Tribolium castaneum: one gene and its partner. The protein of the gene in region 1 binds, or shares a complex with, the protein of each later gene. Links are inferred from orthologs where the notes say so. Each region holds a gene or a part of one and is shown on either strand. Other genes may lie near its edges.

Region 1 (3,823 bases):
CTTTTTTTTAGATGGTACCCTGTATTTTTTGTGTACCATTTGATGTGTAATTATAATTAACTTCTAATTGCAATATGTATCACACCCCATATTTCAAAGTAACGTTACAATAACAATTATTCATTAAGAATTGCGTAATCTAAATAGTAGTTAATTTCAAAAAAAAACTTAACTACCTATGAAAACTATTTCATTGCTTAAATTTGTAAATAAAAGTTTTTAATAATTGTTTTTTTTATCATGTAGCTCTTTTTTACCTAAAATAATCTAAATATTTTTTTATTTTTTTCTACTAGTATTTATTATTAATTTATTATATTGTGACACGTGTTACAAATTAAAAGTAAATCTTCTATTAAATGATGCAAAAAATTATACAAGACCCCATTAAAAAAAAGAAATTGACACCGTTTTTACAAATGTCACCATAAAACTAAATTGATGATTTTATGCAATTTTGTCATTTTATTCGAAATGTACAGACTGAATCAAAACTAACACACAAAATCCATATCTTTGTTAATGGTCATTTTTTAAAAAAAATCTGTTTTTAAAAAAACAGGTCTATTTTTTTATTTAAATGCTTTATCTTGAGATCTGTGACGTCATTCGTTTTTGAGCTATGAAGTCATTTATATTTTCTTTAAATGACAACTGACAGTTTCATTTAGTGTAAAGATAGTACTCGTATATCCACACTAGTATATCCTACTTCAGTTTATAGTAAAATTTAGCAACAATAAATTTGGACTTTTTGGAGTGAAATGGAACACAAATTGAAAGTACCTGGTGGTTTTCTTGGCTCAAAATTTGCCGCAGGGATTTAGCTTAGGACAGAATTCTTTTCTTATGCAGAAACTATTAATTTGGGCTTTATTTCACTTCAGAAAACTCAAATGCGCTGTTACAAAATTCTAATATGAACTGAAATAGGATATACACATCTATATCTTTCTGATAATAAGAAAAAAAATGAAATTAAAAAATAAATAAATAAAACAATTACTGACAACTAAACACAAAAAGCATTATCTGTGTGTTCTTGCTTCATGTATTGTTTTTGATATGAATTTTTAAATAGTTAGCGTGAAAACATATGCAACGTAAATCTAAACACAAACAAAAACAATCACTTCTTACAATAAATAGTATATTAAGTATCAAGAACAGTAAGGTGGTTTTACCAATCTAAGACAATTATTGTCTGAGATCAGTAATCCTTAACGTTCGTGATGCTTATGACGTTTTTTGCACGATCTTTATATTTTTTTTAAGATTTATTAAATAATGTCAAAATAATTGTCAAGACCAGGTTATGTTAACGACGCCTTGGACGTAGCAACTAGTAAACACCATGTACTTACTGTCTTGGAAACAGGCGTCGTAAATAATCAAATAGAGCTCAGTCGTGTAAAAAATAAAGTAAGATCAGAAAGATAAAGCTCTTTGTATACAATTTCTAAACCTTTTTTTAACTTTTAACTTTTCTCCTTTTTTGTTTTTCTTTTACTTTCTTTATACGAGTACTTACCAGAAAGATGATTTGTACTATCCAAAACACTAATTAAAAATGTCATTTAAAAAAATTGAAAACGACGTCATTACTCAAAAACCAATGACGTCATAAATGTCACTATACAGTTGAAATGTAGCATTTAAAAAAACTGACCTGTTCGAGGTTTTTTTTTTGAAAAATGACTTAACAAAAATATTTTTTTCTCCCAAAACATCTTTGATAAGCACAAGTGCGAATTTTTTGTGCTTTCGACTCGCTTCTTTCACTTTCAAACTTGCATTTTTTCGAACAAATGAAATAAAACAGATGTGAGTGCAAAGTCAAGTGTTAGTAAAAACCATCGGGAAAAAATTACATTTCCCACAGGACTGCTGACCGGTGTGGAGGAGGGCGGAGGCCTCGAGGGTGTGACAGGAGCGCACATAAACCCACTCTTGTCCAAGCTCCCGGTGCTCCCATCGGGACTGCTGTTGGCGATGAAGGTGTTGGTGTCTGGCGGAAGGTTGGGATGCCCGTTTTTCGCAACCCCGTTTTCAACTTTCTTCTTTGGCATCGAGTTGTAATTGTATTTCAAATGGCAAGGTTCGAGCGGTTTGCACAACGACAACTCTTCCGGATGCCTAATACCCAGGTCTTTACACAAGTGAATAACGGCCGAAAATGTTTTTACGGAAAAATCCACTTTCATGTCCAAGTAGCGCAAGTCGGGCAGTTGGACGCGCAAGTTTTTGTGCATGGGGGTGAAGTGCAAAAGGGCATCGGCTTGGACGCCGTATTGGTCGAGGGTTGAGCGGGTTCGCGTCAACCAAATGTTCTTGCTGGGCCACCACAGGGCATGGTCCGACCAGTCCATTGAGATTTCTGTAACAAACCACACCAAAAGTTCAGTTTGGTAATTTTGGCCGGCGCGCAAGTTTTATTTTAGATTTGGAAGAAATAACTTGAGACAAAAATAATGAATTTCTCTTCTAGTTCAGTTTAAGAAAGTTTTTACAACTCTGACCTATTTCGCGCAAAAGCAAACGCATCTGTTTTGTTCGCTCTTTTATAGGTCAATTAAATAAAAGTCGGGTGCAATAACGAGGCGATCAATTCATTTCGCTTATGACAGCAGCATGTTCCACTTTCGATCGCTTCGAAATGAACCCAACTATAGGCAAGTTGGAAGGAAACCAACTGGAATCTGGACTGGCCTTGAATCGAATTCATTAGATCCAGAAATTATGTGGGAGTGATTTTGATGTCATACGAATGAATGTAATATCACCGTTTTTATTACGCTTGAACGTGTGCCGTGAATAAAAACATGCGGGAAGTGGGATCAGAAATGGGGCGAGACTATAAATCTGGGGATTATGTCACTATACGAGTATGTGTGGTGATACATTCAACCAATTTTTATAATTTTTGCTTCGTTTTAATGATACAACACGAAAATTGGTCAATGGTTGAAAGAAAGGAATTTTTTTCCGGTTAAAAAACGATGAAAGAAACTAGGAACAAGGCCCTAACTAGTGACTGCTGGCTCATTTTTCACAGTCGAAGGTCCTTTTACTAAGCTGTGTTTCCGAAAAATCAGGAAAACTCGTTAGACAGGATTACACATATGAAAAAAACCTGTATCGGTGAAGATATATTGAAAAAACAAAAAATGTTCATTAAGGCCCTTAGTAGTGATTGTTGTTTTTTTAAAGAAAAGGCCCTTTTGCTAAGCTTTGTTTACTCCAGAAAACAGCAAAATCGCTTCACGAGTTGACAAATGAAAGAAAAATCAAATTTGTATTGAGATGATATTTTGAAAAAAAATCGTTAAGGGTTTAACAAGTGACTGTCGATTCACCATTTTTTACAATCCAAAGTTCTTTTGCCAAGCTTTGTTTTCTGCAAAAATCAGAAAAATCGCTAGCCACACTTGTGAAAAAATAAAATTTGTATTGTGAAGAAAGTAATAAAATTAATAAAAATAAAAAATAATGTTTTTCTATTAGAAGAGAATAATTTTGCTTACAAATTAGAATTTTAAAATTTATAAAAGCTTTAGGAACGGTCATAAGTCATGTCATAACAATACGGCACTACAGAATTACTTTCTTAAATTGAACACTGTTCCCAAAGCTTTTATAAATTTTAAAATCCTAATTTGTAAGCAAAAATATTCTCCTCTGATAGAAAAACATTATTTTTTATTTTTTAGTGCATCTTTTAAATAAAAGCTTTTTGCTAAAAATAACATTTTTTTATTTTTTTTTTTTAGTTTTTAGTTATTCTAAACGTCTTTTCTCTGAGATTTTGTTTCGCCGTATTATT
Region 2 (4,570 bases), on another chromosome or scaffold:
ATTGTTCAAATAATAATAATAAATAATTTCGACTCAAAAAAGTTGCAATAAAGTAAACAACCGTTCAAAGACAACGCAATTTTCGACCAAAATTTTATGATTTGTCGGTGGATTTATATCAAATATCTCCCACAAAAAAAATAGATTAAAGCAGTAAAACGTGTTTAAAATGAAATTTATTGGAAAACGTGCCAAGAGACTTAAAAAAAAACGAAAAAACAAATTAATTTTTGACGTAATGTACTACTGTATCAAACCGTTAGCTAAATTATCTCCAACTTTAAATAATATTATTTTACTTTTATGCAAAGAAAACGCACAAAAACGGCCAAAAAAGGCAATAAAAACATTTTTTCTTGCCTCACATTGTAAAAAATCCGCAGTGTTCACACCATTTTCGCTTTGACCAAATTTTTTGACGTCTATCTCACCAAATTTTGAAAAAAAAATAATAATATAGTCGTTTCTGTAAACGAAAAACTGTCTTTCTTTTTTTTTTCAAATAAACAATTGAGTTTTAGACTGAAGAAAGTTGCAATAAAGCGTCCAAAAAAATTAAAAGCTATTTAATTTCTCGAGTTTTTAGCACTATAAAGTGCACAACTGTTCAAAAATAACGCAATTTTCGATTGATTTTCGAGCAATTTTGCGAAATTGCTAGAACAAGAAAGAAAATCTTAGAAAAACAAAGTTTTTACCTCACAAAAAAGGTAAAATACGAGTATACCACTTTTTGAGATAATTTTAAAGTTTTTCGACTGATTATTGATAAAATTTAGCGAAAATTTCGACCGAATTTAGTGTTTCATCGATTTGTTTCCAACAAAATTCGAAATAATTACTGAAAAATTGAACTAAAAGCCGAAAAACGATCGGTTTTTATCTTAAAACCTTGTTTAAACCACCCCACTCCGCTTTTTTTCTGGTTATTTTTGGCTAACGCAAAAAAGGTCAAATCACACAATTTTCGCTCTGTTTTGGTCATTTATTGTCTTTTCCACCAAATTTTTGAGAAATATTAATAATAAAGTCTCTAAAAAATGTAAAATACGGACGAAAAAAGCAAAATTTATTTTTATTTTTGCCCCTATTTAGTAATTGTTCAAATAATAATAATAAATAATTTCGACTCAAAAAAGTTGCAATAAAGTAAACAACCGTTCAAAGACAACGCAATTTTCGACCAAAATTTTATGATTTGTCGGTGGATTTATATCAAATATCTCCCACAAAAAAAATAGATTAAAGCAGTAAAACATGTTTAAAATAAAATTTATTGGAAAACGTGCCAAGAGACTTAAAAAAAACAAAAAAAAACAAATTAATTTTTGACGTAATGTACTACTATATCAAACCGTTAGCTAAATTATCTCCAACTTTAAATAATATTATTTTACTTTTATGCAAAGAAAACGCACAAAAACGGCCAAAAAAGGCAATAAAAACATTTTTTCTTGCCTCACATTAAAAAAAATCCGCAGTTTTCACACCATTTTCGCTTTGACCAAATTTTTTGACGTCTATCTCACCAAATTTTGAAAAAAAAATTAATAATATAGTCGTTTCTGTAAACGAAAAACTGTCTTTCTTTTTTTTTTCAAATAAACAATTGAGTTTTAGACTGAAGAAAGTTGCAATAAAGCGTCCAAAAAAATTAAAAGCTATTTAATTTCTCGAGTTTTTAGCACTATAAAGTGCACAACTGTTCAAAAATAACGCAATTTTCGATTGATTTTCGAGCAATTTTGCGAAATTCGAAATAATTGCTCAAAAATTGAACTAAAAGCCGAAAAACGATCGGTTTTTATCTTAAAACCTTGTTTAAACGCTTGAAAAAGGTAGTATGAGGATCAGTTTCGATCTAATTTGGTGACTTTTCGGATTGACATTGAAAAATCTTGCAAAAATAACTCAGTTTTTAGCTCAAATACTCACCACCCCACTCCACTTTTTTTCTGGTTATTTTTGGCTAACGCAAAAGAGGTCAAATCACACAATTTTCGCTCTGTTTTGGTCATTTATTGTCTTTTCCACCAAATTTTGGAAAAATATTAATAATAAAGTCTCTAAAAAATGTAAAATACGGACGAAAAAAGCAAAATTTATATTTATTTTTGCCCCCATTTAGTAATTGTTCAAATAAATCATTGAGTTTTCGACTGAAAACAATAAAGTAAACAGCCGTTCAAAAACAAGGCAATTTTCGACCAATTTTGATAAAATTTCGCAAAATTGCTAGAAAAAGAGAAAAAAACAGCTCCACGTTCGCCTTTATTTAATTTTTCGAAATGAAAACCATTTCCTGTCATTATACTTACTGGCACTTGTGGCAGACGTGTTTCCCCGACCCTATGGCTTTAACCTTGGCATTGCATTCATGACATAAAGCCCGTCCTGCATTTTTAATAAATCCAGTATCCGCCAATTCCGTCTCGCACATCTCGCAACGGAAACATTCCGGATGCCAGCTGGCATTCATGGCCTTGATGACCCGCCCGATGATAAAATTATTACACTTTCCACAACACGGAGCAAAGAGAATCTGGAAATCTCTCTCGCAGTACTTGCGATCGTCATACTCGTAAAAAATCCCATCATCAAACTCTTGGAAGCACTGGGCACAGCTGGAGATTTTTTATTAAAAAAAAAAAAAAAATTAAAAAAAAAATACTTACACAAAACACTGCTGGTGCCACAGTTGTCCAGTAGAATTGACGATTTTTTCATGCGGCTCGAAACCGTCGCCACAACGGGCACACAGCATGTTGTCCAGAGACATGGTCGAAGTGACCCTAGAAACCAGCACTCACTTGTTTACGGGTTATACGATATGTTGTAATCTCTTTTCATTCGTCAAAAAACCACAATTAATAATAAATAAGAGTGAAAATTATTACGTGCGTGAAAAGCCATGTTGTTGTAAATCGGATTTGTCGATAAATTCGTAGTCAATGTCTTGGAAACTGCGATATTCCTCTGAAAGATCATCTTTCGAGTTGGCCCTTCTTTGAAACAGCCTACTTTGGGAGATTGAACCCAGTGATGGGATACTTGGGGACAAGTCTATTTTCGAAAACATTGATCTAATGTATGTCACACGAACACTCTAAAAGATTTTTCCCCTTGTAAACTACATCTAATCTATGGCTTAAATCAACAAATCGTATAGATATCGTCAAGTCCAACAAAACGTAATAGTAGGTCTAGTTATACGAGTGAGTGTTAGAAGCTTATTATAATAAAGGTAATAATTGTCAAAAATTCGTTACCACAACCGGAAACCACAGATAAATTGTGACTAAAGATAGTGTTTATGTTGCTAAGTGTTTAACTTTTCCTCTTAATTGCAAAATGACGTCACAAAGTAAATAAAAATATGACCTGGCACGAATCTCGTATTTTTTACATTTTTCGCACCATTTTTTCTTATGCAACGAGCGTATGCGAGAACTTTTCGTATGAGTGTTATTGATAGAAAATTTTATTTTAAAACACGTTGCTAGGGGAAGTAATTAAAACACTAATAGCTTTTTTGGTTATAATTTTTTATTTTTTCTATCAGTTTAATAAAAAATCCAAAGCAAAAGAATTTTTTTCTAATTATACTGACGTTTCTTGTCTTATCTTATCTTTTATGTATTGTACACTAATGTTTTATACTTTATTTCTTTTTTATAACGAGCTATGCAGTATTTTTATATTTATTATTATTGAAAATATTGAATTTTAGTGCAATTTTACGAATTGGAATAAAAAAAATTGAGTATTTGATCATAGAAAAAGAACTAAAACGTCCAGCAGCTTTATGGTGACGTCACATTAGATGGAAGAGTTAGGTGAGACACCCTGTATTGTAACTGAAACAATTGATTTTGTTTCAGCAGTTCCGATTTTGTGACTATAACACGTTCTTATCCAGAAAACAAAAACATGAATTAGAGATTATCAGTAATTACGGCATTATTGATAAAAAATGACCTTGACATACAAAACATAGGTCATTTTTTTAAGTGAAATTTCTAATACAAGTAATATGGGGGATCAATGATATACAGAGTGAATAATTTAGAACATACCTTGTACTATTAAGTACAGTAATAATGATACAACTTCCGGAATTAAACCAACCAACTAAAGAGGCAACGCCTACTTTTTAATGAATTACTTTAACTTTTAACAGTTGCGTAATACAACAGAATGCTTACCCTGGCATTGGAATTGGTGACATTTTGCTGTACAGTTAATTCCAACTCGTCGTAAGACCTGGAAATTGAAGAAAAAACACGATATGTAACTAATTTATTTCCAGGCCTACTGAAGAGAACAGGGGTTAATAAACTCAAAATAGCATTCCAGTCCTTACCAACAATTATTCGGAAGAGTCTACAATATTTTAAAACTTTTAAACAACCAGAAAAATGAAAAATTCAACACTTCATGCAAGCTAAGAGCAAGAAAACAAGAAAACTGTCAAAGCAACCAATCACGTTCAAGAAACCAACAATTACCATTTAAAGGAAGTGGGCCATGAGGAGGAGATTTGCTGGGTTGGCGACCGTGTCCAGAAAGG

What was found.
Region 2: unc-112-related protein (region 1) and stck share a complex: the UniProt entries of both Caenorhabditis elegans proteins name them as parts of the integrin containing attachment complex. The link is inferred for Tribolium castaneum from reciprocal best matches to the Caenorhabditis elegans genes unc-112 and unc-97.

Annotation. Positions count from the first base shown.
Region 1 is NC_087396.1:10,390,250-10,394,072, reverse strand, and holds part of unc-112-related protein, read right to left. Parts: intron 2,378-3,823; coding exon 1,872-2,377; intron 1-1,871. UniProt on the Caenorhabditis elegans protein: Component of an integrin containing attachment complex, which is required for muscle development and maintenance. Probable regulator of cell-extracellular matrix adhesion. Required during initial muscle assembly to form dense bodies and M-lines.
Region 2 is NC_087400.1:2,455,621-2,460,190, reverse strand, and holds the start of stck (LIM and senescent cell antigen-like-containing domain protein 1), read right to left. Parts: upstream 3,080-4,570; coding exon 2,898-3,079; intron 2,793-2,897; coding exon 2,676-2,792; intron 2,625-2,675; coding exon 2,319-2,624; intron 1-2,318. UniProt on the Caenorhabditis elegans protein: Component of an integrin containing attachment complex, which is required for muscle development and maintenance. Probably function in adherens junction.